Linked DNA regions of Elephas maximus indicus. The protein of the gene in region 3 purifies or fractionates together with the protein of the main gene of each other region. This does not show direct contact. Links are inferred from orthologs where the notes say so. Each region holds a gene or a part of one and is shown on either strand. Other genes may lie near its edges.

Region 1 (7,763 bases), on a different chromosome or scaffold from region 3:
CTTAGAATTTACCTAAAACCAGCAGACACCATAAATGTCAATCAGATAAACTTAAAACAGTTTTGTCCAAACGTACTATTGTGAATATTTGGATACTTCTACGTCTCTCTACCAGCTAGCTCCGAAAAGAGCTACTTACACTGAAGGCTTCCTACAAAGTGCTATTGCCCTTTTGTACTGGAGAGTTTCCTTTGAACGGACAGTTGGGAAGATGGACAACTGTGTTAACACCTTATGCACTTAGAGTGAATTGCCGTTGTCATATGGTGCCTGGTTTTTTTCAGACTCTGAAATGGATCTGGAGAGTTGCACTTAATATTTTTATGTGAATGGAGAGTATGGTTAATATTTACTTATGATTCATTGATTAAAAAATATTGGTAATATGCATCGCTACAAAATAAGTAATTATACTCTTAAAACATTTTGAATTCAGTTCTGTTTAAAACTATGGAACTTGAAATAAGGGGTCGTAATTAAGCATTTTCACTTTTTTTTTTTAACTTGATGTTATATTTCTTGATTATATATGTTTTATATGCCAGAAAAATAGGTGACCGTTACTAAGGTTGTGACTTACACTGAGGTTTGATTAAGTTGCCTTTTGTTGAAGGATAATTTACAGATAGGGTTTTGTTGCAGATTGGGTTGGTAACTTTTTTTTATGTGAAATTATAATCCAAGTACTTATCTAGTTAGAAACTAAAAATAAAAGTATTCCCAAGTTACCTAAATTTTAATGTTTTTTTAAAAACCTATTTTAGAACCATAATCTTTCCCAAGCTTTCTAACTAAGCCCTTCAAAAACAAATAGAAATGAAGTTAAGCAGAGAACTCTTGAGTTGCTAGTCAGTATTACAACTAATTTATTGTTGTGGTAACAGCTTAGGGCACAATCAGCTTGTGCAATTTGTCAGTAACAAACTTTTTAAAGCTATTTGTGGGGAGAGACAGAGAAACAGAGGAGTGAATGGATACTTCAGTTTTATTCTTGTTTTAATGTTTTTCCTTTAGGACTTCAACTTAGAATTTTTCATTCTAATGTGAGTTATAGTAAAAGGAAGTAAATGTTTATAGTCATTAAAAAATTTTTTTTAAAGAACACACTTGATTCTATGTAAAAAGTAGAAAAAGTCAGAACTAATGAGAATTTAAGAATTATTGTGGGAATTGAGCCTAATTCTGTAACATTGAATGAAATGTTGGATCCAGAAGAGCCATTCAGATAATAATGCTACGTTTAGTGTAACACATTGACTGAAAGATATTTCAAAAAAGAAAGGAAATGATCAAGTTAAAAATCAGAGAAATTGTGGTCTCAGCTCAGGATGTGCGTTTTAAATGGTGTCCATTTAATTTCTCTATCCCTCTCTCTCCATAGGTAAATAAAAATGTGACACTACGGGTTCCAGTGGGCCTGACCGTACATACCTCTGTAGTGTGTTCTGTGACTCTGCTTGTTACAATCCTGTGTTCTACGTCGATCCTTGTGGCTGTTTTCAAATATGGTCATTTCTCCCTATAAGTTTTTGAAGCTGAACACTTTCCATAAACCTAAAAAAGACCTATTCATTTGTGACTAGAAGTGTTTTTCTAAAATTATGTGATTACTTTTTTAAAAATGTATTTAATAGAATTATGACTGCAATTATGTTTACTAGAGGAAACTTAATTGTTCTCAGCTGATTCCAAAATTTAGCGTTCTGTTGTGTAGATTCTTGATAATCCTCAAACATCAAGTGCCAGTAGAGGAAACTTAATTTTGTTAAATTAACATCTATTTTATGAGAATATCTTCATTTTGGACAAATGAGACAAATCATTCTCTTTTTGTGAGAAGGAACCTTCAATTTAAGATAAAAATTGAGAAAACCATTATAAATAAGAAAAAAATAATTTGGATGAATCAGAAGCTTACTTGAACTTTAATTTCCTGAGAATATTAAGGCATTTATCCAGAGTTTCAAAGAAAACTATTTAAATAGGTCCGCTAAGTAATTATTAATATCATAATTGACTTTAAGATGATTATAGCATCTCCATTCTCCTTTCACATTTTGTAGTTTTTTTTTTTTTGATGTATGAATTGTCAAAGGACTTGATGAAACTAAGTACTAAGGTTTAATATATATGTGTCAGGAAGACAACTGAGGTTGTCATTTTAGAGGGTATATTTTATTAAGTTTTACATTTATAAAAAAATGGAATCTACAAGTGATTTAAAAAAAAAACAAAGGGTCTTGATTTACTGTTATAAAAAAAAAACTGTTATAGTTGGGGGAAAAAAAAGAGTAAGTGCCACAGGTTAATTAAGAAATAAAATTTTAGGGCAAGCACATTCCAGGATAGAAGTCAGTAAACCAGGTATATTGGCATTGTTTATGTAGAGTAATGTATAATACATTTATATATGCTATGACTGCTTAACGTCCTAAAACATTCTAGTGTTTTTATGGAAATAAATCTCTTTATAATTTGACATGTACGGCTTGACTAGTCAGAGCAATTCTTTTTGAAGTTGTGTTTGACACAGTACTGAAAAAGGCAATCCAATGCCATGTCATTGTTGTTAGGTGCCATTGAGTCAGTTCTGACTCATAGCAACCCTGTGTACAACAGAACGAAACGCTGCCCTGTCCTGCACCATCCTCACAATGGTTATGCTTGAGCCCATTGTTGCAGCCACTGTGTCAAGCCATCTCCTTGAGGGCCTTCCTCGTTTTTGTTGACCCTCTAGTTTACCAACCCTGATGTCCTTCTCCAGGGATTGGTCCCTCCTGAGAACATGTCCAGAGTCCATGACAGGAAGTCTCTCCATCCTTGCTTCTAAGGAGCATTTTGGCTGTACTTCTTCCAAGACCGATTTGTTCGTTCTTCTGGCAGTCCATGGTATATTCAATATTTTTCACCTACACACTAATTCAAAGGAGTCAATTCTTCTTCGGTCTTCCTTATTTAGTGTCCAGTGCTATAAAGCAGAAATATTAAGAGATCTTTAAAATGATTAACCCAGTCTGTTTACATAGACTGAAAGAATTTTGTATATTGAAAGAAGAAAGTGTTCCCTCTTTTACAAGCATTTCTTCTTCTATGGGATTAATAAGGTGGCATTGAAATGGAATTATATGTAAGTGAAATTCAGTAACATCAACAGACAACATTTTGGAATATGGTTAAACAGATGAGGGAACATGGTACTGTTTAACCTCTTTTAATAGTGTGTATATATAACTTTTTTCTTTTGCACATCAAACCAAATTTTACTGATATTTAAACAAGCTTTCAAGTTAATATTTGGGATTTTATCTTGGAACATAGTTCAGTCATTTACTCATTTATACAGGTATTCAGAAGTGTAATAAAAAATACGAGTGTGAATGAAGAAAACTTTGATCTGACTCTTCTTGCCTGAAAAATGGTTACAGATGTCTTTGCTTTTGATACAGTAAAACATTTCTGGTTTGACCTCTTTATTCATGATTATATTATCTTCTTTGGATACTTAAAAAACGAATAAGCACTTTATTTTTAAATCAGTTTTGCAACCTTAGTTATGCCTTGGAAAGGATGTTCTATTTTACCCAGCATTTTTGTGTGTTTTATGATGGGAAGAGTTTTTAGGTTATCTAATAGTCTGCTCTATCATTCCTTGATTCTTTTTTCTCCTGTATCCTCCATGTCAATTGAGAATTTTTGCTTTACTAAGATAAGCACAATCTCGGTACCTCTCTCCATTTCCACTGCTATCTGCCTAGTGCAAGTCGTAATTATTGCCTCCCTAGTTCATTTCCCTTCTATTCTTGAATCTCTGTACTCCATTTAACAGTCTAGTGATCTTGAAGTGTAAACAAGATAACTTCACTTCTCTGCTCAAACCCTTTAATTAGCTTCTTAGAATAGTCTGTGCTCCTTACTGTGGCATTTAAGGTCCTTCGTGACCTGAATCTCATCTACTCTAGTGTTTTCTCATACTACTGTATCCTTCTTGCACTAAGCTCCAGCTACACAGACCTTCTTAACCTAAGGCTGCAAGCCTTTTTCTTCTCCCCTCTGGCTGCAGTGCCTTCCCTTGGGTCCTTCTCACAGCTGTCTCTTTCTCATCTTTCCGTTCTCAGCTTAAATGTCATTTCTTTAAAGAGGCCTTCTCTGGCCACCCTATCCAAAACAATCTCCCCTAAATTTTTTCTCATACCAGATACCACTCTTTCAATTATTGTGTTTTCATATTTGTGAGCTCAGAAAGGCAAGGGCTTTGTTTATCTTGTTCAGCCTTGTATTCATGGTGCTTAACAGTGTCTAGTACAGGTTAGACATTCAAATATTTGTAGACTCAGTGAATACATTGGTGAACTCCTCTGTGGATAAAACACAGGAATTTGTCTCAACTTGCAAACAGGTGAGATGTAATTTAGCAGCAAAATATGCTAGAGGTTTGTAGGTAAAGGAGCAAAATGAACAATGAATTCCCAGAAGCAAATGTTCTGGAGCAGATTCATATAAGAGCAATCATCTGTCAACATCTTTGGAGCCTATACTGAATTAAATGAAGCCAGACGGACGTCCTTCTTAATACAAAGAATGGAAAAAAAAAAAAAAAAATGCCCACTATTGAACTACAATTCCCAGCAGCCCTCGCGCCAGCCCGCCTGTTAGGAGGCGGTGCTCGTCTCCGCCCCGGGGCGCGCCAGGCCAGGGGGCGGGGGCGAGGGGCGGGTGGGGCGGTGCTCTGGGCCCGCCTCTGCCCGCTCCCCGCCGTCGCCCTCCCCCAGGGTTGTGGCCACGCGCAGCGGCGGCGGTTGTTCCGCTTCCCCTCCGGCCCCGGCCGTCGCCATTGCCGAAGGCTCCCTGCCCTCCCTTCCCCAGCGCCCGCGGGGCTCGGGCTGCCGCTCGGCCTAGCGGTAGCGGCGGCTGCGCTCCAGCCCGGCTCTCCTTCCCGCCCCGCTTCCCCTTCCCTCCCCTCCCCACGCCGCACGCTTCCCGGGGCGGCTCCGGAGCCCGCCGGGAGCTCGGACGGAGGCGCCTGGCCGGGGCGGGACCCTTCCTCGCCTGGGGTGAGTGTGGCGGCAGGCCGGCCCGCCGGCCCGGGGGGCGGGCAGCCGCTCTCCTTCCTCCCCCTCGCTCCGCGGCCTAGCGGGTGGGAGCGGCCCTGGGACAGCCGACCTGCGGCGCGCGGGGCCGGGGAGCCGCCACCTGCGTGCCTGGGACCGCGGCTCCCGGGGCGGTGGCTCATTGTCTGCTCCCTGGGGCTGTCTGCTCCGCCGGCTTCGCCCGCGGTGGGAAGCCCGCCGGGCTGCGCTGGCCTCGGTCTCCCCGGACCCGGCCCTGCCCGGAGCGGCGTCGCGCCGCGGGCTCTGCCCTCTCTCGGTCTAACCTTCCGTCCGTTCCAGCCGCCTCCCTTTCTCGGCTGGCTAATGCTGGACCGGACCTCTCGGCTGTTAGTCCTCGATTTCCCCTCTCTTCCTGCTTCTCAGCCCCTCCGTGCTCGCTGTCTGTCCGCCCAGCTTCGTTGCTTAGGATACTCTCTCGAGACCCTAACTTTTTTCTCACCTCCAATCTGTAACCTCTTCCATATCCCGCAAAAGTAGAAACCTATAGTTTCCCGGGGAGTTGAGGGCTTCCCCTCAAGAACAGAACTCTTGGATCTTTTCATGTTTCTTGTTTGATCTTCAGCCAGGAAGTGAATATTTGCGTCTTTAGGTAACTTGGGTTAAGGTAACTTGACTTTTTCACCATGTTTGGCAAAACGTTGCCCCAGATTCCTCGGTGGCCTCGACCTTTTGGCTAATTTAAAGATCCTCGAAAAACTGAAGTGTAAAAAGTTATTGCGGTTGTCGGTCGTGTGTGTTCGTTTTGATGGGGCTACTCCCGGGGCCGTGTGAGCGTGATTTGTTTCCTCCTTGATAAACAGTGCCAGCTCCCATTGATATCATTGTAGCAATTCAACTTTCCAGTGGATCGCTTTTGTTTTGTTTTGTTCTGTTTTCTTCTTTAACCTCTGTAAAAAGACAGTCAAAATGGTTAGGCCTAAAATTAGACAGCGACGAGCTGTGTTTTGGATCAAGGTTGTGGACGTCACGTTTTTTTCCCCTGCTGTGTTTGACTCTTCCGCTCCTGTTAAGTAGGCAGGATATTGAAATGTACAAGAATTTGCTCCGGGGATTGTCCGGAGAATAACCTTAAATAAAGTCAGATTGGGATGAACACAGTGCACAGTAATTTTTAAAGCAGGTTGAAACTTGTCAGTTTTGCCAGAAGCTCTGTGGCACTTGTAACACACACAAGCTCGTTCGTATCTCATTACAGGGTCGCGATGAGTCGGAAGAGATTGACTGGAAGGCAAGGGGTATATACTTGTATATATATATGTTTATATATATCTATATATGTGTGTAATTTAACGGAAAGCCTTGTTCATGTTCTATAGAGGGTATTGATTTAAAGCAACTCTTTCATCCTTGGCTTTAAAATCTTTCCCATCTATTAATTAGCCAATAACACTGATTTACATTATGAAAACTGAACTTCAAAATGGTTTTGACCTGTGATATATATATAGTCTGAAACTCTTTTCCAGATTTGGCTGAAAGGGGTTGACCTAAAGTCAGTGTATTTTCTGTTTTCCCTGAAGAGTCCATTGTTATTTTTCTTTCCAGCAGAGTCTGAAAAAATGGCTTAGTACTGAATTTCCATACTGTCATCATTTGGTGGTATCATGAGTCCTTAACTTAGTGAGAGGCCCTGTTGGAATAAGGGGTTAGGGTGTAGAAATGTTGGAGTGTGAAACGTGTGGCCTGTTGATGTCTTCTCTGGCAGTTCTTTCTATAAGCAGATATTATTTATTAAGGTGTTCCACTTCCACTAGGCCTTGATTCCTGGTTTAACATTATGCAGAGAGTTGTTCTTTAGGACTTTGTGATATTTAATACGAACCTTGCAAACCCAAATTCATAAAGTGATAGTAAATGAGTGAATAGTGATTCTATGGCTCTCTGATCTTATGATAGGCAGGTTTCCAGGTAGGTGTGGTCGACAGTGTTTTATATTTCCTTCCAATTATACTTTTTTAAAAAGAGAACTTGTTCAGGTAGCTAAGGGTAAAATTTCAATGAAACATTTTAAAAAAGGAGAGCTTGTTCAAGAAGCTGTAGATAAAATAAGTAGATACTATGAAATTCTTCCTATCTTTAATCTAGGACTCCCTGGGTGGTGCAAATGATTCATATACTCGGCTACTAATCAAAAGGTTGGAAGTTCAAGTCCACCCAGAGGTGCCTCAGAAGAAGGGCCTGGTGATCTAATTCTAAAAAACCGACCACTGAAAACCCTGCGGAGCACAGTTCTGCTCTGACACACACTGGGGCACCATGAGTTGGAATCCACTTGACAGCAACTGTTTTTCATCTTTAATCAGTTGATACTGATTATTCTAATAATACTCTTAAGTTCAAATATAATGTTTCTTTCCACATTCTTCATTTATAATTTTAGATTAAAACTTGAAACTGTGCCCTGTTCAAAGCTGTAAGACTTCAGGGTTCTGATCAATTTGTTCTCAAAAGCCCGAACGTTAGCCCTTAGTTAGAGGGCTGATTCCAAGTTAAGCAGAGGGAAGGTGTTAAGTTACTTAAAAATAGCACATCTAAGTCCTTCCTTTTTTATCCCTCTCCTACCTTGACAGAAGCTGAAAGGGAAGGAAAATATAGTCTCTCCCTCCCATCCCTGCACCATGATAATAGTTGTTTTTTTTCTGTGGTCAGAATTGA
Region 2 (7,534 bases), on a different chromosome or scaffold from region 3:
CATATAGTAAGTACTCAGTAATGTTAACTGTTACGTCTTTTATAAATAATTTTCTAAGCACCATTCAGATATTTCAACAGCCCGCTGAAATTTGTGATCCTGAAAAAAAATTTTTTGATTGGAAAAACTTAAAACATCAAATGTTTCAAGTAAATACTATATTATCATAGTGAAAATTTCAGCGGATTTTTCAGGTAATCGAACTCAGTGTGATTTAGTTAAAATAAACTGCGCTCATTAAACAAGCAAACTAAGAAGAAATAATCATGGTTAAATATTTGCCATGAAACAAAATAATTCAATGAAGTATAACTGTCTCAGTACTACTATACCATTCTAAAAAGCAAACACTGTAAACATCAAGATAAAGGATCCCTAAAATGCTACACAGCGACGGGTTTTTTTCTGCACGAAGGGAAAAAAAAGACTGCCTTGAAGCATTTTTTTTTTTTTTTTTTGAAGCATAGCTTTGATTTTCACCTAGCATCCAGAGAATTCACAGTATTCTTTCAGGGGAAATGGAACAGGACTAAGACAGCAAGGATTTAACAATTAGGCAAGGTTCTCAATTAACCATTTTAACATCACATATCAGAATTCCATGGATAGAGTAACTAGAATGTTACAGCCGAGTAAAATCAAACCGAGTTTGTACAAATAAGGTTGGGTAAAACCCTTCCTGTTTATGTGGATGTTTTGTGTCGGGGTTTCTTAACCTGGGCTCCACGGACACCACAAATGAGCTTCAGGAGTGTCTGTGGTCCCACTGAGAAAATGCGCATGAAATTGTGTGTGAAAGTACATACATGTGCATTTTTTGGGGAGAGGGCCTTAGCATTCATCAGATTCACAAAGGAGTCTCTAACCCTAAAGGTAACCCTTTCACTAGGGTTTTGCAGAAAAGGCAGAACAAATTCCTAGCTGCACAAGTTCACGGAACATTTCAAGGTAGCCTAATTATACTCAAAACAGGAAGGAAGTGACTCAAGTCTCTGTAGATAGGTACATAAGACAACTAAAATGATATGATGAAAGAGAAAATGTTCTGAAATGCATAAAATGATGCAGAAATGCAAGGTAGTATTTAGGGTGACAACGAAGAAGTAACTTTCCTTTGCCCTAAGCCATCCACTGAGAAGTAAAGAATACTCATTCTAAGAGGAAGTTTGAAGCTAGACACATGTGAATCAAACATGACGCAGAAAGTTCAACTGAAAACAGGCAAGAAAAAGAAGGAAGTGGAAACATTTTTAGAGACTAGGATTAATTTCGTATAACCACCCTGGCTGGTTTATAAAACACCTCTTTTTTAAACTCCTCCACCCCTTTCCCTATTTTCAAAGGAAACTGGCAACCCTGACGGCTCTATAAACCAAAAATCAAACCCAGTGCAGTCAAGTAGATTCCCACTCATAGCAACCCTATAGGACAGAGTAGAACTGCCCCACAGAGTTTCCAAGGAGCGCCTGGGGGATTCGAACTGCTGACCCTTTGGTTAGCAGCCGTAGCACTCAACCACTACGCCACCAGGGCTCTATACAGACTATGAGAAAAACCACTTCAGGTTTGAGATATCATGTTGTTCTTGTTAGTTGCCGTCCAGTTGACTGCAAGTTATCACAGGACTCAGCCTCAACCTCCAAATGACAAGATGAAGTTCAGAACAGTTGCCACAACACTGGCATTCAATGATTTCATTAAGGTTGTTTACTGGACGATATTGTGCCAAGGAAGCCATCTTACTTTTGAGTTACTTCAAACTCAAAGCAGATAAACCGAAGCACTGAAAACAAAACACAATCTAGCCACAGAGACCTGTCAGCTCAGCTCCAAATGCTAAGATGGAGCTGAACTCTGTACCTGAAACTTGCACATGGCAGAAATGATTTATGCCCATATTGCTGAATGCTCAAATGTGAATACTGCCCGTGATTTTGCGCCTGTTAGTTTTTGGTAAGTTGTAATTCATGCATGATTTAGAAATGCAAATCTAACTTTAAAGGACGTCAAGAGTTATCTGTACTAAACACAATACAAAAAAGAAGGAAAAAAAAAAAAAACTTGAGATGATGAGAAGGCTCATTAAATCTAATCACCGAGCCAAATACTCCCGACTATATCCATTGGAAAAATGAGGAAATCAAGGCTTGGTCACATGAAGTCACAAACCCAAGGTCACCCAGACCTAGTCTGAACCCAGGCGATTCAGATCTAAAAACTTGAGACATGCTCTGCCTTCTAAGTGCTGGTTGTTTCTGCAAGACCGCGACGTCCTGCAGGTTCTTCCCCGTGGAGTGGGAGACGAGATGCCAGAAGCCTGGAAGCAATCTGCCCTCCGGAGGGTCTCGGTGAGGGAAACCGCGAGTGTCGCCCATCTCGGGCAAGGCCCTCTGCGGGGCGGGGGTCCGGATGGCTGGTGTGTGTGGGGGTGACACCTGCAGCCTCTGGGGGCCGCAGCCCGGAGGATGCTCGCATTCTACTTCTGTAATTGGTCTTCCTGTAGATTGCCCAAGCCCCTTCCTGTTGGGGGAGCAGCCCTGGACCTCGCCGCCTCCCCGGCCGGCTGGGACGGAGGAGAAGGGGGAGAAGGAAAGACCGGAGGGCGGCGGCCCCCTCCCCGCCCGGCTCTGACAGGCCCGGGACGGGCCCCGCCCCAAGGCTGCCGCCTCGGGCTCTCCCTCGCCGCGACCCCAGCCGCGGGGCGCGGGGCGCGGGGCGCGCAGCTCGGCCGTCGGGACTCGCCCGACCTCAGTGGGCTGCCTCGGGGCAGGGGTCCGGGCCAGGAGAGCCGAAGAGAGCGGGCCCCAGCGGTGAGACTCACCCGGCCCGCTGCAGTCAGCGCACACCTCGCTGCTCCGGAGCCGCTTCGACATGGCTCTCGCCTCCCACCCGCGGGGAACTAGGGGCCCCCGGACAGCGAAGGCGGCGGCGGTGCTTCCGCTCTAACGGGTCCCCGCGGCAGCGCTGGCGGCAGCGCCTCTCCCCTCAGCGCCTCGGAGCCCGGCGCAACACGCACGCGCGGGGAGGTGGCCTTCGCCGACGGACAGGTCACGTGACCGGAAAGGGCACACTGTTTTGTCGCCATCTTGAATGAGGGCAGGTGTCTGTTTCCCCAGCCTCTGCCCTGCTTTTAAATCTTGAATTTGGGTGCTTCTATTTGAGTCGCGGGAACCCTGGTGGTGTAGTGGTTGGGAGCTACGGCTGCTACCCAAAAGGCTGGCAGTTCAACTCCACCAGGCGTTCCGTGGAATCTCTATGGGGCAGTCCTACTCTGCTCTATAGGGTCGCTATGAGTGGAAATCGACTCTATGGCAACGGGTTTGTTTTTTTTTTTTCCCCCGCCTCTGGGTTGCGGAAAGAGCCTTGGGGGCGCAGTGGCTAAAGCGATAAAACTGCTAACCGAAAGGTCGGGTGTTGGAAACCACCAGCGGCTTCGCGAGAAAAATGTGGCAGTCTGCAGTCCGCTTCCCTAGAAGATTTATAGCTTTAGAAACCGTATGGGGTCAATGTGAGTCTAAATCGACTCCACGGCCGTGGGTATTTTAGTGGTCTCTGAGATGCTACAGGGTCGCTATGAGTCTGGATCCACACGAGGGCAATGAATGAGTTGTTTTTTTTTTTTCCTACACGAGATACTCCTCCTCCCAGTACTGATTAATTCCAGGGGAAGCTGTAAAACCTAGTGACCATAGAGAGCTCTGCAGCCACAACTTTCCTGAGGCAATCAGTGGTCAAGTCACTTAGTGCAACTTTGGCCAAGTTAGTTCATTCATTCATTCAACAAATACTGAGTGTCTGCTGTGTGCCGTGCACTATCCAATGGAGCTTCCCAGGAGCTCTGGTGGGCAGTGGTTAAAGCGCCAAGCTGCTGACCAAAAAGGTCCGCGGTCGGAAACCATCAGCTGCTCACCGGGAGACAGGACAGCCTGCTTCCTTAAAGATTTACAGCCTTGGAAACCCTATGGGGCAGCTCTACTCTGATTTACTGTTATTATTGGTATCACTATTATTTTCAAATCACGACTTTTCTTCCTATACTTGAAATTTGAGAGTAAGAATATATAACCCAGAGTAATTTAAAGGCTAACCAAAAACGAAACCCGCTGCCCTCAAGCCTATTTCGACGCATAGCGACGCTGTAGACAGAGTAGAACTGCCCCATAGGGTTTCCAAGGGGCACTTGGTGGATTCAGACTGCTGGCCTTTATGATTAAGCAGCCGTAGCTCTCAACCACTACGCCACCAGGATTTCCAATTTATAGAACAGTGTGAGATAAACACAGTGAGGTTAATCAGTGTGAAGAACAAATGTGATCCTAATGCCGAAGGCCACCTCCCCACTAATGAATATTTATTGTATGTGTTACATGTAAACAGAATTATAATCTCCATTTAGCAAATATTGGATGCCAATTATGGGTTAGGGGGAAACCCTGGTGGCGTAGTGGTTAAGTGCTACGGCTGCTAACCAAAGGGTCGCCAGTTCGAATCTGCCAGGTGCTCCTTGGAAACTCTATGGGGCAGTTCTACCCTGTCCTAAAGGGTCGCTATGAGTCGGAATCGACTCGATGGCACTGGGTTTGGTTTTGGTTATTATGGGTCAGGAAACCCTGGTGGCATAGTGGTTGAGAGTTACCACTGCTAACCAAAAGGTCAGTAGTTCGAATCTACCAGGTGCTCTTTGGAAACCCTATGTATGGGGCAGTTCTACTCCATCCTATAGGGTCACTATGAGTTGAAATCAACTGGATGGCAACGGGTTTGGTTTTGGTATTATGGGTCAGGAACTGTTTTGGCTTTAGGTACTCCCGTAAACGAGACAGATGTGAAGTTTTCAGACTAATGTGACAGGAGGGATGTTCAGGAAGCATGGGGCAATAGAGAGAAAGATTAAGTTGCACAAGGGTTCTGAAAGAATGAAGAGGCCTTAGAAGCACTGGTCCTTGGTCCATCTCTCCGGCTTGATAAATGTGTGGTGTGGGAATAGCCACGTAGTTCCCACGCACGCAGCACTTACAGTCTATGAGTACTAACCTGATGCTCCTGCGTGCTGTTTTGGTTCCCCAACTCACAAATCTGGGCTCAACACGTGTGGAGAATGGATTAGGCTAGGATTCTTGAACAGCTGTTGTTGCAGGCATCTGAGAAGCTGGCTGTACACAAGCAGAGAAGGCCCAGGAGATGCTTTCAGGATGAATTGAATAACTTTGCCCAGCTATGTGGTCGAGTTGTAGACAGCTGAGCAGAAGTGGCAGCAGGAAGCGCACAATGGTGGCTATAAACTGACTTGATTCTTCATTGAGGCAAAGAGGTACAGTATCTGAAGTTGAAACTCAAAGGATGAACTTCATATTTGCAGACTGTGGTCAAGTCTGGGTATTATATATCAGTCTTTTCAGTCATAATCCAAAATCCAAATGGCTAGCTTCAAAAATAAATGACACATGTGGGATAAACCATTATCATAGGTAGCTTTGAATCATAACCCAGTTCAGAGTTCAGATAGAACAGTGGCTCTCAACTGGAGACCATTTTTGTCCCCCAGGGGACATCTGACTTTATCTGGAGACATTTTTTGGAGGGTCGATATGAGTCGGAATTGACTGGACGACAGTGGGTTTGGTTTTTTTTTTTTTTTTGACTGGCATTCAGTGCGTAGAGGCCAAGGATGCTGTTCAACCTCCTACAAAGCACCCGACAGCCCCCACAACAAGTTATCCGGTCCAAAATGTGCGGAGGTTGAGAAAACTCTGTGATATAACTATCTCCTTATTATGCAAATATTTAACGCCACTCCTCCAGGGTTTATAATTCCTCCTCTAAAATTGTTTGCTTTTGCCCACTTCCAAAATGGATTCTGACCAATCATGGAAGCATCTGCCCTGGTCCAAAAAGGCTGCAAGGAAGTCGGTAGCCGGAATGGTTTAGCCCAGGCCTGTTGTCGCCCCCTGACCGCAGGGCCAATGGAAGAGGCCCGGTTGTGGACCGAACCATCTGCGATACATAAGGCAGGGGGAAAGAGGTTGGTGATGGGTAGACCAAGTTTTCCACGTCAATACTCTGAAACGAAAGAGGTACTCTTAACACTGTTTTAGATATCACACTATGATCCTGGTGTGGAATTGGAGATTGGTGAAGTTGGGCGAACTCCGGATCGACCGCTTTGCCTCGCCCTTCCCCGCCCCCGCGTGCGGTGGTTCGCTCCCCGCACTTCCCTGTTTGGGACAGTTCGGTCCGCAGAAGTCGGTTCGGGAGCTGTCAGCGCGGGCGGGAGCGTCGCGGGGCGCGGGGTGGGCTCGGCCGACCCGGTCCCCGACCCGGCCCGCGACCCCCGACCTCCCGCGCACCACGCAGTCGGCCCGCTAGGCCACCCGGCCGTGTCCCTCGCCTGCTCGCTCGGCTTGTCCTCTCGCTCGACGGCCGCTGGCGGGCGCCGGAGACCCCGCCGGGGCTGAGGCTTCTGGCGAGCGGGTGGCGAGGGCCCGGCTGCGGCCTCCTCGCCATGTCCTCGGCCCGCGACGCCAGCGGCCACTTCCCCCTGCATCTCCTGGTCTGGAAGAACGACTACCGGCAGCTGGAGAAGGAGCTGCGGGACCAGGTGAGGGGCGGGGCGGGGCGGGGCGGGGCGGGAGTCCGCCCCTGGTTAGGGGGAGTCGAGGCTCGCTAACCTCCCTGAGCCCATTTCCAAGCCCCTGCCCTCGGGGTCCCTTGGACCCCTTCAACTCTGCAATCGTGGGACGGCAATAATAGTAACAACAGGACGTGTATTGAGTGCTTACTGGTGCCAAGCTCTGTGTCAAGGGCTTTATATACATTATTTCTTCTAACCTTTCCAACATCCCTAGGAGGTGGGTATTATTATTCCATTTGACAGAGAAGGAAACTGAGGCTCTCAGAGGTTATGGGCCTTGTGCAAGGTCGCCCAACTAATAAATTTGCCAAGTCGAGATTTTAACTCAGGCTGGCTGGCCCCAGAGAGCGCCGTCTTTACCATTAGGCGCTACTGCCCCTCTCCAAGACTTACACTTTAGACTCTACTGTCCTCTCTGAAAGACAACACACACACCCCTCACCTCACCTCATGCACCCTTGTTGCCTTGCTGTAAGGAAGGTCTTTGTTAAGGTTTGGAGTTCGGGTTCTAACTTGCTCTGTGTGACCTTGGGCAAAGCATTTCCTTCTCTGGCCCACATCAGCTTATCTGCAGAATGAGGGTGTTGGTACTGGTGTGAGCAAACCCAGTACTCAACTCCATTGATAGGTCTGGGGTGAGGTCCAGGTTTCAGCATTTTAACCAGCTCCCAAGGGAGGCTGATACATACCAAAGTTTGAGAGTCACTGGAGCACAGGAGTGTCACTAGCCTTCCTTGTTCTAAAGTTCTTTGATTCCTTGTCTTTTATTTATTGCCATCTCTTCTTAACTGATTCTCAACTCAGGGGCTCTCAACTGGAGGTGATTTTGCCCCCAGAGAGCATTTTGCAATGTTTGAAGGCATTTTTGGTTGTTAGGAGTGGGGAGTGGGGTGCTACTGGCAT
Region 3 (7,356 bases):
TGCATCCATCATATTTCGTATTTGGTCATATTTATGCCAGACAAATAGAACAAATTTTCTCAAAATGAATGCCTTTGATAACATACCTGTAATCGACACGGTGAGTTTCATGGAACTGCCTCTTACTGCATCCCTCAGTCTAGGCGATGACCCAATTCAATAAAAGTGATCCAACAGGGAGCCATTACTACACAGTCCTGGTAAATAACCATCTGCCTGCCAGCTTAAGGTTGGGGTAGATTTTAACATATTTATAAGACCACCCTCCAGGCAACCGCACACAAACAGTGTCCTTCAGCCAAGCTTTTGATTGATAGTTACTGGTTTGCAGCTGAGTTTGTGGGTGTACTCCTAACAAATACCTGGAATGTGGCTATCAGCCATTAAGAGGTAGCCAAGCTACAGGGTCGCTATGAGTTGGAATCGACTTGATGGCAATGGGCAAGCTGGGAGTAAAGCTGAAATTCTCATGAGAACTGTGGGAGCTAAAGGACATGCTTGCATTGAAACCATTCTACACTCTTTTTTTTAAAGTAGGTTTAAAAATTTTTTTTATTGTAATGAAATAAATATAATAAAACATTTGACGTGTCAACCATTTTTACAGTGACTTTGACTGTATTTACCATGTTGTCTACATCCTTTTGAGGGTAAGGCAAAGGAATATCCATAGACAGGGCCAAGTGGTCCACAGGAAGCGATGGAACGTGTTTCTAGTCCAAGGGACCAGTTAGTGTTGTGTTCCAGAATCCTACTCCACACAGCATGGCTCTAGAATTGTAACTGGGAAAAATCTTAAGGCAGGTTTAACCACATGCCCACGTTGGATGTTACATCTCAATTAAACACCTGGGGAACATCTAGCTTTGAACATCTAGAATATATTCGAAATAAAGTTTTTGAAATGCCACTAGTAAGTATAAAGCACTTAAAAGTTGGGGTACTTCTATTAAAAAAGACCAGTTGTACACCAATATTCATTGTGACATTATTCACAATAGTCAAAAGGTGATGTAATGGATTGAATTGTGTCCCCCCCAAAAATACATGTCAACTTGGTTAGGCCATGTGTACTTGTCCTCCATTTTGTGATTTTCCTGTGTGTTAGAAATCATAATCTCTGCCTGCAGTTAAAAGGATTACTCAGGTCACCTCCCTGATACTGAAGGGAGTTTCCCTGGGGTGTGGCCTGTACCACCTTTTATCTCTCAAGAGATGAAAGGGAGGCACGCAGAGAGTTGGGGACCTCATACCACCAAGAAAGCAGCACCAGGAGCAGAGTGTGTCCTTTGGATCCCTGTGCCTGAGAAGCTCCTTGACCAGGGGAAGCCTTCCTCCAGAGCTGACAGAGAGAGAATGCCTTCCCCTGGAGCTGAAGCCTTGAATTTAGACTTGTAACCTACTAGACTGTGAAAAAATAAACTCTTTGTTAAAGCCATCCACTTGTGTTATTTCTGTTATGGCACTGCTGGATGACTAACACAGGTGGCAACAGCCTAAACGTATATATAAAACGTGGTATATACAATGGAATATTACTCAGCCACAAAGAGAAATGAAATCCTGATACATGCTACAACGCGGGTGAACCTGGAAAACGTTATGCTGAGTGAAATAAATCAGTCACAAAAGGACAGGTAGTGTATGATCCCACTTAAATGAAATATCTAGAACAAGTAAGTATACAGAGACCAGAGTTTATTCGTGGTTACTAGAGGTAGGCTGGAAGGGTGGGAAAGGGGAACTCCTTGCTTAGGAGACATTGCCTTTCTGTTAAGGGTGATGGAAAAATCTGGAAACAGGTAGTGGTGATGATAAACATAATTAATGTCACCGAATTGTTCATGTGAAAAGTGTTGGAATGGCAAATGGGTTAAACAAAACCTGTTGCCGCCAAGTCAATTCCGACTCATAGCAACCCTATAAGAGTAGAACTGCCCCATAGAGTTTTCAAGGAGCACCTGGTGGATTCCAACTGCCAACCTCTTGGTTAGCAGACGTAGCTCTTAACCACTGTGCCACCAGGGTTTTGCTACATGTATATTTACTATATTTACCACAATTTAAAAAAAGACTAGTTATAGTACTTGGTCTGTGGGCTTTTTTTCTGATAATAATTGGATACCTAGGAACACTCCCTAGAGCTTGTTGTTTGTAGGACCATTTTATTAAGTCAGTTTGAATCTTACTCTTGTTTCCCAGGTATATGCTGCACCAGACCTAATTTTAATAGAATTTGAAACTGTAGTGACTATACATGTACTGAAAATTATTTCTCCCATTCGGCAGTAATAAAAGTAAACAGGAATCTCAAGACCACCCTCGGGTTGTTGATACTTTCCCACTGACAGACCCTTCAGGTACAAAACTTTATAAACCAAAACCAAACCCAGTGCTGTCAAGTTGATTCCAGCTCATAGGGACCCTAAGGGACAGAGTAGAACTGCTTCCAAGGAGCGGCTGGCAGATTTGAACTGTTCCCAGCCATAGCACTTAACCCCTATGCCACCAGGGTTTCCTAACAAAACTTGATAAAGCTGTTAATTCCTCTGCTATTTTCTGGAGACCTTATAGGGAAGCAATGTAGAGAGCTAGCTAGATAGACGCCTTGGCTCTGCAGTCAGATATCGTGGGTTCGAATCCCATCTCTACCACTTAGCAAATAAATGTGACCTTGGACAAGTGGCTTCATTTCTTTGAGTGTCGTTTCCTCCTTTATGAAATGAGGATAATGAGATAACTTCACACGGTTGTGCAGCGATGGAGTGGTGTGGGTGAGGGCGCTGGACATGGTACCTGACTGTGGGGATGCACAGTGAATGGCAGCTGTTATCACTGTGTCTTTATTGGCCCTCATTGCCCAGAATTCACACTGCTATCCTAATTATTTTGTGTTTGTGGCAAGACAATTAGGTACTCGAAGAGGAAAATTAATGCAACTAATGACTGCAGTAGAAATTGCGATAGAAATAATCTGTGTCACAAAACAATTTGTGCACAGATTTTTAAATGAGAGACTAATTCGTGCTGTAAACTTTCGCCTAAAGCACAACAAACAACAAACACCTCCGGAAGGAAGAAGAGGAAGAGGAGAGTTAAGCTGCTTTCATTATTTTCCAAAGTTTTTTTTTTTTTTTTTTTTATGGTTTCTGGCTTTATCATTAGGTGGGTTAATACATGTGCCTGGCACACAGTCAGCTCTTTGTAAGCGACTGCTAATATTATTTTAAACTCAGGGAGAGTCACAGCAAGCAAACAGAGAAAGCACTAACAGACTAGGGGCAGAACAAATGGAAATAAAAGGAGCAGAGAAGGCTTTCTTCAAAAAAGAGGCCCTATTTCTTCTAGAGCAATATAAATGTGTAAGCGTCACCAGCTGTTTAGAGAAATTTGCTCAGTGCCCTGAAGGCTGGTGTTTGAATTCCTTAGGCCTGTACCCGTTCCAGGCCTACTTCCACCTGACGAGCTTCTGCTCCTATGCAGTCAGCCAAGCGCCCTACTTTGAGCGGTTCTCATATTCCTGCTTGATCGTCTGCACAAACCCACTCTAGGCTTATGTTATTTTCTTGACTTTCTTCCAACAGTGTTTGAAACATCACCATCAATTTAATGTGGGAGAATTCCAAGGTTTCCGGTCCTAGGAAAATGCGCTCCCTTAACGGTCCTCGCATATATTTAGCCACCCACCTTCCAGAATTTGGTGAGGTCATCCGCCGCATTAACCAGCCCCCCAGCAGGGGGCACGCGAGACACAAGCACCACGGCGTTAAATTGCGGTGCACGTTTAAAAGGACAAACAGCAGGGTTAGGAAAATCAATTCCTTCCCGAATTAGACCCATGTGGTTACATACTTAGGGTCCTGGTGGCTCAGTGGTTAAAGAACTCGGTTGCTAACCAGAAGGTCGGCAGCTGCCGGAGAAAGATGGGGCAGTCTGCTTGGCAAAGATGACAGCCTCAGAAACCTTAAGGGGCACTTCTACTCTGTCCTATAGGGTCGCTATGAGTCGGAATCGACTCTACGGCAGTGGGTTTGGTTTTTGGGTTTGGTTACATACTTCATTATAATTTACGTTCTGTAATTATTGGCTTGCAAGGTAGCGAAGACGTCTTGTTTTCAGGACCCTCCCCCCCTTCACTCCCCTCTTGAAATAAAACTGTCAAAGATATGAGAATTCTGGGAAATATTTAATAATTTAAACTTTCATGATTAAAAAAAAAAAAAAAAAAAGGTTTCCAAGTCCTCCAAGGAAGGGGGTGGGGCGGCGGAAGGGACAGGAGAGCGAAGACAGTCCCGGGAGGCGCTTCCATCCAGATGGTGTCGGCTGCGTAGACCCGGAGCAGGAGCGCAAACGGCTCAGACGGTGCGCGGAGGGGCCAGCACGTGGTCGCCGAGGGGGCAGGGCGGCGCGCGGGCTCAGCTGGTAAAACCACCTCGGCGTGTGGCTGAACCCAGACTTCTGGAGGTCAAAAGGACTCTTTGGGTCTGTCGCCTACAAAGCAGCTGTCGAGGTAAGAGCGCGCGCGCGCACAAACACGAGATACTGATGACAACGGTTACGGAGGGGTGGGCCGACGGGCGCCTATCCACACAGCTAGTCTGGATTTAGCTGCCCCCTAACGGGCAAGCACCTGTGCGTAAACACACGCCCCGAGGCATCGGTCACATTGGCGCTGTGTTCCTGGTACCATTTGTTAAATTCGGCGTAGGTCACATTCACATCACGCGCAAAGCCTGCGCAAAAGCGCACGCAGCGTGCCCACTTGTCCTGGGGGCCCAGGGCAGCGAGGACCCATCTGTCGTGCGCGGCGGTGGCGGCTGGGACGCGCCGAGACGGTGACAGGATGTGGAGCGGGTTGCAAACGGCACCTTCTTTTCTTCTCGTTTCAGTGATGTCATTGGGCGACAGCAGCTGAGGGCTGGGAGGAGGAGGAAGAGGAGGAGGAGGCGGCGCCGGGCCGCCGCCGCTGCAGGTTCATGTGCACATAATGAAAAGGCACTTGACAGTCTGCCAAAAGGCGAGCCAGGGAGAGGGAGCGAAACTGGACCTACTGGATTTCGCAAAGCCAATCGTCGTCATCTGCATCTACATGGGGAAGGAGGAGGAGGAGGAGGAGGAGGTGGGATCGGCGGCTCCAGCCCCGGCTGCTCCAATGTGAAACCACGAGCCAAAAGGGGGCTCAGAAAAAGCAACGGAGAGCGAGCGGGCGGGCGAGGGAGGAGGGAGAGGCTCGGCGGTGCAGCATCCCCCTTGGTTCCCCTGCGGATTTCTCCTGCTCCTCCTCGGACAGCTATGAATTCTGCTGAACAGACCGTTACGTGGCTCATTACCTTGGGGGTGCTGGAGTCGCCCAAAAAAACCATTTCGGACCCGGAGGGCTTTTTGCAGTCGTCTCTGAAAGATGGGGTGGTCCTCTGCAGGCTGCTGGACCGCTTGCTCCCCGGGACCATAGAGAAAGTAAGTGCTATGGCAGCTGGCGCGCCGCCCCCGCCGCGCGGACCCCCTGGCACCGAGCGCGCCCCCGGGGCCCGGCCGCTGCGCGCCGCCTGCGGGCTGGGCGCACAAAGCTCGCCGCCCGGGGTCCCCGGCCGCCGCGGCCCGGGATGGCATAGGAGTGCCCGGCCGTGCGGACCACCTCGCGCCTTGGCACCTGGCGACCCGCGCGGCGGTCCCCGCCTTCTTCCTGTGCCCCGCGGGGAATGGAGCGCCCCGGGAGGAAGCCTACGCACTTTCCTTTGTGCGCGGACCCCCTGGAAGCCCGGTTGGCGCCGGGCAGGAGCGTGCGCTTCTCCCCGCGCACAGCGCTCCTCGCCAGGCAGCCGGAGCTCGGAGGGCGCCATTGTGTGGGGCGGGCCGGGGGCGCGGGGCGGCGGGGCGGGGGCGCGGGGTCGACGGGCCGGAGGCGGCCGGCCGGGGGCGCGGGGCCGAGGGCGCGGGGCGGCGGGGCGGCGGGGTGGCGGGGCGGGGGCGCGGGGCGGCGGGGCGGGGGCGCGGGGCGGCGGGTCGGCGGGCCGGGGGCGCGGGGCGGCGGGCCGGGGGCTCGGGGCGGGGGCGCGGGGTCGACGGGCCGGAGGCGGCCGGCCGGGGGCGCGGGGCCGAGGGCGCGGGGCGGCGGGGCGGCGGGGCGGCGGGGTGGCGGGGCGGCGGGGCGGCGGGGTGGCGGGGCGGGGGCGCGGGGCGGCGGGCCGGGGGCGCGGGGCGGCGGGCCGGGGTCGGCGGGCCGGGGGCGCGGGGCGCGGGGTCGGCGGGCCGGAGGCGGCGGGCCGGGGGCGCGGGTCGGCGGGAGAAAGAGTTCTTTTACATGGTCGGAAATAGGATTTCTGTACCGCCCTGACGGTAACTTGCTCCTCGGTGTTGTGAGGTCTGCCTAGCTCGTTTCCAGTAACCTGATGGTAAAACGGTCTTCCAGTACCACGCACAGTTTTCTCTGATGGCTTTGTTTGAACAATTCTTCTTCTTGGCATTTCATCCTTTTTCTGTTTAATTGATCGATTCCCGTGCATTTTTTAAAAGACGCATTCATCAGTAGCTGAGGGCTGGGCTGTGAAACGGTTTACTACTTTCCCAGCGAAAAAATGCCTCCTGTATTCCCAGGCAAGAGGATTGCAGAAGCTTGAGTTAAAAAAAAAAAAAAAAAAGCCCTGGCATTCTTCGAGACTTGTGTAAAATTGCAGATTTCGTTTTCAAATTCATACCTGATTCTGAACAGAATCGATAGTCCTAAAAGACCTTCCTTCCCGTTACTCTTGACTAGTGGTTTCCCCGTGGCTGCAGTGTGAACTTTGACCTGCATTTCTGTAAGTGATTAAAGCTTGTTTTCAGCTCCCAGGAGCTCACGAAGCATGGGGAGGGGACGTGAGAGCTTCGAAGGAGGTTGTATTCCCTCTATTTTAATATATTACAATTTTATCTCAAATATCTTGCCAAGATAGAATGTTAGGCTCCACAGTTATTTAAATGATGGCACATATTGGAGTGAACCATAATTGGGGAAACCAGCTTCATTTTCTAATGGGGGCACATTGGCCCTTATACACAGTGGAATGCATTTGTTAATAATGAAATGTTTTACTTGAAAAAGTGAAATATTTAATCTTACTCATAACTTTGAACGCGTTCTGGCATTACATTTTAAATGTCAGAAAATCTTTAATTTTGCATACATATTAGTTTTAGGTGTCTTTCTTATTTGGAACGTATTTATGACAACAATCTGTCCATGAAATAAAAATGTTGCTTGTAAATGAACCAGGTGTCACAATAAAATTATGATTTAAGGTGAGAATAAAGGGCAGGATTTAACTCTGGAGGCACTCAGGATGCTCTGTTGTCACCTGGATATACTACTTCTGGAAA

What was found. The genes of interacting proteins can lie anywhere in the genome.
Region 1: the proteins of ARHGEF7 (region 3) and PAK2 purify together in Homo sapiens (co-immunoprecipitation; 5 studies listed by BioGRID and IntAct, with this or other methods). This does not show direct contact. The link is inferred for Elephas maximus indicus from reciprocal best matches to the Homo sapiens genes ARHGEF7 and PAK2.
Region 2: the proteins of ARHGEF7 (region 3) and GIT2 purify together in Homo sapiens (affinity purification with mass spectrometry; 6 studies listed by BioGRID and IntAct, counting the BioPlex papers as one, with this or other methods). This does not show direct contact. The link is inferred for Elephas maximus indicus from reciprocal best matches to the Homo sapiens genes ARHGEF7 and GIT2.

Annotation. Positions count from the first base shown.
Region 1 is NC_064819.1:18,271,725-18,279,487, forward strand, and holds the start of PAK2 (serine/threonine-protein kinase PAK 2), read left to right. Parts: upstream 1-4,744; 5' UTR 4,745-5,051; intron 5,052-7,763. UniProt on the Homo sapiens protein: Serine/threonine protein kinase that plays a role in a variety of different signaling pathways including cytoskeleton regulation, cell motility, cell cycle progression, apoptosis or proliferation.
Region 2 is NC_064840.1:20,517,492-20,525,025, forward strand, and holds the start of GIT2 (ARF GTPase-activating protein GIT2), read right to left. Parts: upstream 3,020-7,534; 5' UTR 2,874-3,019; coding exon 2,822-2,873; intron 1-2,821. Other genes in the region: ANKRD13A (ankyrin repeat domain-containing protein 13A), read left to right, coding at 6,503-6,598. UniProt on the Homo sapiens protein: GTPase-activating protein for ADP ribosylation factor family members, including ARF1.
Region 3 is NC_064841.1:77,019,932-77,027,287, forward strand, and holds the start of ARHGEF7 (rho guanine nucleotide exchange factor 7), read left to right. Parts: upstream 1-4,339; 5' UTR 4,340-4,510; intron 4,511-4,879; exon of another isoform or gene 4,880-4,889; 5' UTR 4,890-5,292; coding exon 5,293-5,457; intron 5,458-7,356. UniProt on the Homo sapiens protein: Acts as a RAC1 guanine nucleotide exchange factor (GEF) and can induce membrane ruffling. Functions in cell migration, attachment and cell spreading. Promotes targeting of RAC1 to focal adhesions. May function as a positive regulator of apoptosis.